Linked DNA regions of Arabidopsis thaliana. The protein of the gene in region 2 interacts with the protein of the main gene of each other region in a pairwise test. Each region holds a gene or a part of one and is shown on either strand. Other genes may lie near its edges.

Evidence for each region.
Region 1: the proteins of ARF17 (region 2) and WSIP2 interact in a two-hybrid assay, tested with the Arabidopsis thaliana proteins (one study listed by BioGRID).

The regions. Positions count from the first base shown.
Region 1 is NC_003074.8:5,369,271-5,374,269, forward strand, and holds the start of WSIP2 (WUS-interacting protein 2), read right to left. Parts: upstream 3,020-4,999; 5' UTR 2,895-3,019; exon of another isoform or gene 2,663-2,894; 5' UTR 2,600-2,662; coding exon 2,520-2,599; intron 2,350-2,519; coding exon 2,170-2,349; intron 2,081-2,169; coding exon 1,967-2,080; intron 1,856-1,966; coding exon 1,697-1,855; intron 1,613-1,696; coding exon 1,435-1,612; intron 1,350-1,434; coding exon 1,229-1,349; intron 706-1,228; coding exon 584-705; intron 502-583; coding exon 333-501; intron 184-332; coding exon 74-183; intron 1-73. UniProt on the Arabidopsis thaliana protein: Transcription corepressor of Zinc finger transcription factors GAF1/IDD2 and ENY/IDD1 in regulation of gibberellin homeostasis and signaling.
Region 2 is NC_003070.9:29,270,328-29,276,054, reverse strand, and holds ARF17 (auxin response factor 17), read right to left. Parts: upstream 3,851-5,727; 5' UTR 3,651-3,850; coding exon 2,583-3,650; intron 2,115-2,582; coding exon 1,392-2,114; 3' UTR 867-1,391; coding exon of another isoform or gene 862-866; 3' UTR 548-861; downstream 1-547. Other genes in the region: AT1G77840 (Translation initiation factor IF2/IF5), read right to left, coding at 5,655-5,727. UniProt on the Arabidopsis thaliana protein: Auxin response factors (ARFs) are transcriptional factors that bind specifically to the DNA sequence 5'-TGTCTC-3' found in the auxin-responsive promoter elements (AuxREs). Could act as transcriptional activator or repressor.

The DNA of each region.
Region 1 (4,999 bases), on a different chromosome or scaffold from region 2:
AGTTTTAACTAACTAACAACAAATCTCCCACCTCATTCGACTGTTACAGTAGATCAATAAAGAGGAACTATACCTGAAGGTTCACAGTGCAAGTAGCAAGATCCCAAACTTTAAAGCTTCTAGAAACGAGCTTCTCCCTGCTACCCACCTCCCATATTGCAATATCACCAAGATTGGTGCCAACTAGGAAACAAATGTAAATCCAAGATAAAGTAAGCAGATTGTACTGAGAAGATGAAAGTTATGCTGTCTGATACAAGTTTTGCAGGTTTCTCTGGCATAAACCAGAATAAAACAGAAGAATGATGCGTGCTTCAGAGGAGAAAACCAACCAAGGAGCATAGTTTGCTGTACTGGATGAAAATCCATGCTCTTAATGGCAGAACCCTGACTCAAAATCCTGCTAACGTTTTTGGGCAAGTCATCAGTAGAATAAGTTGCATGAGCATGGCTTTGCCCTGGATATGTGACTGGCAAGACATTGACTGGAAGATTATTAACCTGTAAAATGTTCAAAGAAAGTTGTGACTTCTAAGAAAAGTTGAGAACTTAAGCTGAAAAACGAACAAGCAGCCGTTAATACCCCATCTGAAATACCAAAAGGTCTGGGTCTCTTCAACACACTTTCAGAATCTGCCGTCTGATAATCCATTGATAGGCTATTAGTTGGAGGACTCCTGGGACGCTCACGCTTTAACATAGACACTGCAAGGAAAAAAAGAAGAATAAATAGATTATGGTAAGCTATGCAATTGGTAAACACACACAAACTGATCTCCACGTTATGGACTACAAAAAATGAAATAAATAAAAGTTTCAGACCTAAGACAGCACTTCAAGGCTATCTGACATTAAATTAAATGTTTGCTTCTCTATCTATTATCTATAAACAAGAGTATTGTGAAATTAAACAAAACGGCTGATATGAGCATATAGTTCTCTCTCTCTCTCTAATCCACCATAGAGACAGTTTACCACTAAAAACTGCTTTAGTCCGTAAAAGAAAAGAGAGACAGTTTACCACTACAGCTCTGGAAAATGTAACTCAGTAAATATATTTATATCATTTCATGCAGTTCAGTCAGTCAAAGAAGCACAGATAACCATCCAACTAATGATGATCTAAACAAGGGATGGCAAATTACATAACCGTATAAGCTAATATTTGGTAAACTAAATCTCCAACACACATATTTCAGAAGAATAAAATTAGTAGGGACAACATTACCAGCACTGTTGGGGGCACCTAAGCCGATAGGCCCAGCGGAAACAGTAGGGTGTTGTACCGATGGATTAGGCATCCATCCTGCAAGAGATGTTGTAAGAGGAGCTGGTGTTGGCTGAAATGGCTGAACAAGAGCATACAAACTAGCAAAGTTAAATTCATGTGCTAAAAACTAATCCAACAGAAGCTGTAATCTTAGAGCAACTTACACCGTGAGCACCTAATGGTGGGAAGCCTCCAACTTTAGGGACTGAACCCATTAAATGATTAGTTGTAGGGGAAGGAGTGTGTGCACCATTGGGATGCCCACACGTATGGTCAACAAATAGTGTTTTTATATCCGGGTTAGGCCTAGGATTCTTGCAAAGCTGATGTTGCCAGTTCAAACTATGATTCAGCAGAAGCAACGTTCAGTTAGTTGTTCCACCAAAAGAAAAACGGGAGCAAAAGTTAAAAAAACAAAGCTTGTACCTTTGATTTATTAAGGTTCTCAATCTAGAATTCTTCAAACTGGGAAATTGAAGTTTGTCTCGGAAGAGAGGATTTGCTTCAATCAGTTTTTTAAGTTCCCCAAGCATGATACCTCTTGCGGACTTAGTATCTCCATACTTGGAAAGCTGCTCATTTTCCCTTGAATTATTGCAAGTAAATGAAACATCAACACCACAAGCGCATGGTTTATAACAATCCAGTGGTCAATGAAACCATAAAAAAAAAGTGCTAAGAAAGTAAAGAATGTACCTGAAGTTAGTCAAGGTTAAAAGCATGGTAATCTCCTTAAAAAGCTCTTCGTTGAATGTCGAGAACACTTTCAACTCCTTAACAAGAATATCAACCGCCTTGGCATGATCTTTCCTATGGTAAAACAAAAGATGGGAAAACAAATCAATACTCAAAACCACACTTCAATTCAATAAAACTAAACAACACAAGTGAAACTTTACTTGTCAAGTGCTTCAAGGTACTTCTGCTTCCGAATCTCGAAAAATATTTTCATAGAGTATCTATTATCATCAACTTTAGTGAATCCAGAAAGATACTTCTCTACATCATCCCATTCACCAGCTGTTACACTATCTTCAAAGTACCTCATGTTGAAGAAAAAACCAGACTCTTTCTCCAACCTAATTAGTCAAAAAAAATATCCAAAGTTGTAACTGCTTCTGGATTAACATTGAAGAAATAATGCTAAATTACAAAATCAAAATTAATTAATCTTAATCCCTACTTTACTCTAATCCCGACAATCAAAGGAAGAGGGACCGCAATTAAACAATGATATAATATAAATTACCTGTGAACAGTATCTTTGAATTTCTCTTCATCGAGAAACTGAAGTATTAAAAACACGAGTTCTCTGCTGAGTGACGACATATCCTCTTCTTATTGCTCGCTCTCCGAAAGTAACAGATCGATCACAATACCACTCATGAACCACTAATCAAACACAAAGACACAAAGAGAGAATTAGGGTTTTATAAAAGAAAACATCTTCTTCACACCCCAAAAAAGGAAAGACAGATCTAAAAAAAAAAACGAAATCGATCGAATTCGAAAGACGAATCCCCCCAAACCCAGGTGGCACGAGATGTGCACGTGCGAGAATATACGAGAGAGGCTCCCGAGAAAGAGATTAAAGAAAAAAAGGAAAGTTTATAAATATAAATACCTGTTGAATTTTGACTTTGAAGAAGGAGAGAGACAAAGCAGAGAGGAAGAAGAGGAAGAAGAAGAAGAAGAAGAAGAAGACTTTGGAGAAGAGAGAGAGAGAGACGTGGGGGCTATTTATGGCGATAATTTCTGATGCTGTCTCGTTTTCGGAGTTTCCTTTTTTTTTTTTTGGATTTATTGCTTTTTATTTTAATTTATGAGTTTTTATGATTTAATTAATTTGTTTTTGTGTGGTCGTTGGGCTTCTATTTTTTTTAATAGAAGCGTGTATTTTGTAGATAGGAATTTACTCAAAAAGCTTAATCTCCCCACTATAATAAGTAACCTTCGTTTTAATTACTTTTTCTAAAATTTATTTTAATTTAATGTTTTCGTATTTTATTTTAATTTAAGTGACGTATTGATGTTGTTGCGAATCTAGTACAACACTGCTGTCTAATTTAATGCTCTCTCGTTAGGTTTTGAACGTAGCTGGGGATTTTTTTTTGTTTTTCAAACTATACATTAAAGTAGAGTATCTCATAATTGGTTTATTTCTGTTTCTGTATAGAATTTAGTGCCATTATATTATTTTTATGACATCAACTAACCGTCAATTAATATTGCAAATATTTTTTTTATGAATTAATTATTTAAGTAATGGATTTTGAAGTTTTTAATTTAGAGAAGAATAGCAGTAAATCAGATGTGATATTTTTATTTCCAGTTATGTAGTACGCAAATTAATTAAATTTTATTTTCTTCATCTTTTATTGTCAAAAAAACAAATTAAAGGTTTTATGGATAATTTACTTTTGGAAAAATATAAATCTTATGTGGTAACAAATAAGTGAATTTTACAAATGTGTATTCTTTCTTTTTTGTTATAGTAATTCACAGTAAAAAGTGGAGTTTTATTCTATAATACGGTTTGTAACGCATTTCCGTGAATATATTATGCTAATTTGTTAGGAATTTAAGAGATATGGCCTATTCACATGTTTAGTTTTGTTCTATTTATAAAAAAAAAAAAAATCAAAATTTATATTTGTACTTTATTTTTTTTCCCATGGATGTTTTGGCTAGTAATTACTATGCTACTTCAACAGTCCATCCACATTATGGTTCTAGTAGGAGTCATATCAAATCTTCTTACAAGTATTCCTACACCAGTATTGCTTACATTGGTTTGGGCTTTTAGGTCTAGATTATCGGGGGAATTGACTGGCCCAATTGCTAAACATGATTGGGAATCAATTTCGTCCCAAACATGTTTTCCTTGAACAATCACTTTGATGACAATGACACACCCAGACAGTTATCAATGACTGCAATTAATCAGCAAATGGTTCCATAAGCCCATCTGCCCATGTTGGTGAAGAAGCATCACCTCAAATATATAATTTTAAGATGAGAGAGCAAACATTCCTTTCTGATCGCTCTGAATATTTTAGCAATTTACTAAACGTAAAGTTATTTTCATAGCTTTAATTCAAAATTTCTGTAACTAGAGCTAGCAAAGAAACAAAGACTTGTGTTTAATATTATATTTTTGAAGAAGATAGTAGAATCTTCTGTCTATTTGTTTAATATTTGAAACATCGAATAAATGGTTTCAATGAGTTGTCCTGACTCATCAGCCGACCCTTAACAATGACTACAACAACTTCAAATTTTAAAACATCAAGTATCTTCAACAACATACCCTTTCCGTTTTATATTAAATAATTGGTAAAATCCAGCTTATTTATAATTATGTTATTTCTGTATAATACATTACAGAAGAGTAAAACAAAAACTTTAAAACGACACATATAATAAAAAGGAAAAATAAATAAATAGATATGAGAAAAAAATACAGTTGGAACTTAATATATACACTTTTATACAACGGATACTAACGTTCAAAAATTTTATTCTTCTTTTGGTTAAAGTTTTATTTATTGTTTATGACTTTTCCATATCAGCTTCTTTTTTAATACTATATATATATTTTTAAAATTTGTTTATTTTATGCGAGCAAAAAAAAAAAAAAGTGTGCAAAAATAATAAAAAAGAACAAAATAAATAGTCTACTTGTACTTCTGTCTCTCTCTCTCTCTGTTTATCAATCTCACATCGAGA
Region 2 (5,727 bases):
TCATACTATTACCACTTGAGGAAACTTAAATTAAGACCTGCAGGGCCACTCTTCCCAAGTACACATAAACATTGAAACAATCTGATGTTGATCTAGTTTTACCAAATTTATATAATGTAGTACTCCTATTACCGTGCAAAACAGTGAGAGACATGGAGCCAAGTCTCCTCCAATTGTTTAATGAGATCTTCAAATCTCAAATGTCTTTTTATGCATAATTCAAGTCGTCGTCTTAATTGCTAATCAAACCAACCTAATATATTTTGTCTCATTGGTAGCTATTAGCTAATCAAACCAACCCTAACTTACTGACAAATTGGAAATGCTATAGCTGATCCGTTAATGAATCACAGAGAACAGAACATAAAGGAGTCAGAAAAGTGTAGGAGGGACCTCCCTTGAGCTTCTTTTATTTATTAGGAGAATAAAAATGGTCCGATTTTATTATTGGCAGTCTTTTTATTTATTAGGAATATTAACTAAAAGCAAAAAACAGTTAGTAAAACTCTCTGGTTGGCGCCGTTAAGTTAGATCCATTGCATAGGGATTGAATAAAGCATTAAATTATTTGCTGTTTTCACTCTGCATAAACATCAGTCTTAAAACATGTTTAGGTAAGACAAATCCAGACATTTACCCCAATAAAAATAGTTAACGATTAGATGAGAGCGAGATGTTCATCAAATGTGTCTGAGAAATTGATAAAAAAAAAAGAAAGAAAGTAAAAAACGGAATCGTCACGTGGCAAAGAAAAGCCAGAGAAAAGTCAATTGCAGAAACAACAGAATTATATATAATAGTACTACTACTACTACTTAGGACTTGGAGATTCCAGCAAAGATCCACCACTTCTTTCACTTTTTAACCTGTCAAAACACACACAAACAGAAGAAAAGTACAAATCATTCCAAGCTTCAGGATCTTCCAACATTATAATCGTCTATAAGCAGCAGCTTCAAGCTTTCTGCAAATCAAATTTGTAATGGAACCACATAATTCTTCATCTACTTGTACAGTAATGTCTAGTTCAGATGGATAAAAGAGCCAATTCTGTGTCCTTATTACCGTTAACGAGACCCAAAAAAAATAGCAGGAATAGTAAATATCAGCAGTAATAAAAGCATACCAAGTATAGTGAAACATATATGATGAAACAGGAAAGCTTATGCTATTGAAAAGTTAAAATCCAAGTAATGTTCAAGTTCCAAATTCCAATTACCTCAAGGCGACTGATTACTGAAGAGATATATAGATAGTTTTCACAAGTATCATCATCAGTCAAGTCATATCAGAAATCATGATTGTGTTTCCTACTCTACATAATATAGTTCATGGGAAAGGAAGAGAAATTGCCTTGTGCAAAACAGTAATAAAAGCTTATAGCAACTGATTCAATTGATTATTGTACTTGAGAGAGATCGGAATATACCTTGGGAGCTAGAACCTGCGTTGCTGTTGGAATGTTTAGGCACGCTTGGAGGAGCATGTGATAAGGACAACTGTGTCTCATTGTCGCTGGACTCTTTGCTGCCATCCTCTTCACACAAGCCAGACTCTGCAGGACCGCTCTCAGAATGCTCCTCCACGGTAATGATCTTGCCAAACAACTGAATCGAGTTAACTTTCTTTGAAAGGGGGCCTCGGTTTCCAACCAGGTCATTTCCAGAGGACAGATTAGTGGTGTTGCTATTAGGCGATAAGTTATCTGATGGCGGACTGCCAAAGTTCATCATCTCAGTCGACACTTTTCCCAAATCAGGAAGCGGACTTAAGAAGTTATTGGTGAATAGCTGGGGAGGATTTCCTCCAATGAATCCGGTTGGATTGAAAGACCCAAAATCATATTGCCTGGCTCCCTGCATGCCAGCAGGAAATGTAGAATACGAGAACATAGAAGGACTTGGATCAGGTGCTGCTGCACTAGACAGTCCACTTTGAGGATAAAGGATTTCTCCATCATCTCCACTCAAGAACCCTCCTCCGGGTTGTGGATACTTCAACCTCTTTGCTGGAGGGAAAGGGGTATGCAGTTGAGTTGCATGTGCAGCAATTTCCACTTGCCATGGATTCACCCTCTTCACGTTTTGCAGAATCTCAGGTTCATCCCATGTGATCTACGCAAGTTAAAAACAAAGGAACTAATCAGAGGAAGTAGAATATATTGGCAAAAAAGGAGTATCTCATAAGACTAATCAGAGGAACTCTAGTTTAACAAACACAATGTACAATGCGTGGCCAAAGAAGGATAATGAAAAGCAACTCTACATCACGGACGCTCAACACAAACAATACTAAGCCAAATCTTCCAGTTTCAATTCCATCTTATAGAAGATGAATCTGAGAGAGAACATTCATTTTCGTATGAATTAACTTATCCTGTTTCCAATATTTACCTTCAAAACAACAACACAGCAATCAAAACAACATTCAAAACCCAATTGACATTTGAATAACCAGGATGAGACTTAAACTACTCATGAAAGGCTTGCACACAACAGATACAAGATCGATTCTGAATTGTTCCATTAACGCAACATTATAGAGATAAGAAGAGCAAAGACCATTTCAAAAACATCATATACCTGAAGCTGCTTCCATGGAGATCCACGCCATGGACCGGTCTCCTGATAAGTAGAGGAAACGATGCCTTGAAACCATGTGATCCGAGAAGAATCTTCAGTCTCCATAGCCATCTTGACTCGAGTCCCAGGAGTCCAATACATAGACATTGAAGACTCAACATCTTCAGCTCTCACAACAAACTCAGACCATCCAGCAGCCGGATAAAACACCACCTCAAATGGTAATCCCTGAGACGCTCTATTGATCGCATCCGTCACAGCCTCAGCAGTCAACTTACCATTCCCAGATCTCCTAAACGTCTTCTTCGGACTCCCATCATCTTCCTTGGCAACGCTACTCTGACTGTAGTAACCGTTATACTCATCTCCTCCGTAATAGCTACTTCCTCCGTCGCTGCTTGAGATCGGAGTTCTCCTAACGCCGATGAACATCTCATCTGCAGATTTTCTCATAAACACCACCGAATCTCCAGCGATGAGCTTCTTGCTATTGACGAACTTACTCCATCCCGTTGTTAGCAAGTGACGCCTCGGTGTACCGCGATAGATATGCCTGAAATCCCAAACAGCTCCATGGATATCAGTGACGTAGAGCTTCTGAACCGGTGGATCGATTTGAAAATTAAGCAGAGGGAAGACGGAATCAGCACAGAAACGAGGAACGGAGAAGCCACCTCCATTGTTAGCATCAGAAGGCGTGAGAATTTTGGCGAAGGTAGTCACCTTGTTGTTATCATCAACATCGCCATCGAATCTGCCGAATCGTGAATAATTAGTCGGAGTAAACTGCTGCTGCGTCATCGGTTGAAGAATAAGGTGAGCAAAGACCTCGTCGGTGACCGGATCGGCGAGCAACTGAATTGAAGTGATGATACATGGAACCGGCGAGGTGGAGGAAGGAAGAGTAGAGAGGAGAGGGCAACAGTGCTCAACGTGACCTTGTGGAAAGTAGTAAACCCTAGAGTGAAGGACAGGGATCTGGACGGAGGCTCCAGCACAAGCGCGCCAGATCGTCGGGTCTACTTCACGGTGGTTGATGTCACCGGCGGTTGCCGACGGCGGTGACATAGGTATTTGTTTTCAGTGTAAACGAAGTCAGCGAATGAAGAAGAAGAAGAAGAGGTAGGTACTGTTTTTATAGAGAGAGACCGTGATGTCTTAGAAGGAATTGAAACGGGCAGAGAAGGGAAGCGAAAGCGGAGGGTGAGGAGATAATAGCGAATTACTGTTACGATGCTACGGGATTTTGTGTTTGATTTTATTTTTTTTGTTTGTGAGAAGGAAATTATAGTTTTTGCCACACGACAACAAACTTTTAATATCTCTCTTCACTAACCTGATTCTATTAACCGTTCGATCTTTAGCGCGTGCATCTTACTCTCTATCTTTTTGGTTTTTCTTCTCATTATTTTTAGGTTCAATTAATGATGCTCTTTTTTTTATTATTGTTATTAAAACTCACTGAATTATGAAGAACTAAGAAATGCATTTAAGAAAGAAAAAACTGAAAAGGGAATATTCCTGTAGATTTTTAGAATGATTAGAGAAACATTAATCATGTTTTTGTGCTTATCCCTCGTTAGCTAGTATTTTTTGTCACAACAGAAAAGAACACTACGGAACTTATCATTATTCAAGACAAAAAAATTTGAAATAGGTTTGTTCAAGTTGGGATGAGTTATTGAATATATAATAGAAAGACAAAAAAACTAATTTATGTTATAATAAGACCATTTTCAGGTTTTGGCGAAAAAGATGTGTTGAAATTTTCAATGTCGATTTTTTTATAATCACATTAGTAGATAAAAGAAAAATACCACTTTATTTGTTTGTCATTATCACTTTTTATTTTTTATGTGTGTGTTTTTACGGTACATTTTTTGTTTTTATACAAAAGCAATTTGTCAATTTTTCTACAAAATCAAAGAAAATCCAAGTGGATCCGTTTCAAAATTATCTTGTTTGTTGCGGTTGCCATTAGCAAGCTGTCTTACTTTTAATCTTTTTTTCTGTTTTAATTTAAGAACAAGATAAATTCAGAAAAAGATCTAAATATCCAAATGGAAGAAAAAAAACAGGATATTGAAATAGATACATGATTCCTTTTTTCTGTTAATATATTTGTTTGTTGCAATTCGATAATCGAAAAAAGCTTTAAGTTGTTAACACTAAAAAAATACATTTTAAACCGGTTGAACCAACTTTATTAAGATGTCAGTAATTTTTATTTGGTTATCCATTCTACTTTTCACAACATATAAAACATACCGACAATTTAATAAGGAAAATAAAGTACAATTTCGTCTGCTTTTATTTTGTACAGATGTAAGAAAAGCTTTACATCTTTTTTGTTTTTGTTTTTCTTGGTGAAAACATGTTTTTTTGTTTGTCACAATATTTGTTTTTCTGTCCATTATGTTTTACCCAATTAAAGTGTAAATATTTCGATAAATTTAAGTGACAACCCTAAAAACTGGGACCATTTGTTTTTAAATTTGGATTGTTGTAAATCAGTAAATGGCAAGTTGTCTTCGGTTTACCTTTTCCACTTTAATCCCTTAAAATCTGTTAATCTTAACAATACACAAATTATCTATCAATAAATAAATGTAAAAATCAATTTCGCTATTATTATTATTTTCCTTGGCGCGTGGGAATAGCAGATAGATGGGTGGGTCAGTTAAGAATGTTTGTTGTGAATTTTTAAATATCAATATTATTTTCGACGGCACATCTATCAGTTAAAAAAAAAACCTAAAAACAAAAGACAGAGAATGCAATTTATTATGCTCCGTTGAAACGGGCCTCTGCTTCTGTTTTTCGCATGTTTGTTGATCTAAGGCCCACTATCACATCATGGTTACGATATAATATATAAAAGTCAATGACCAATGAAACCTTCTTAAACATAAATATTTCCCAAAGTCGTCAAAACCAAATCCAAACGAAGACAACTTTAATAGATGATGTTTCTTTATAAGAACACAGCAAAAAGATTTAAGAATTCTGAAAACTGACGAAGTATTATAAGAAATGCCGCAAAGAAAAGTTAGGAGGGAAGAAAAAAGTGACTCAATCCTCCTCTTCGGACTCAGACTCAGCGCTCTGAAGCCACTCCACAAAAGGCTTAACATTCTTCCAAACC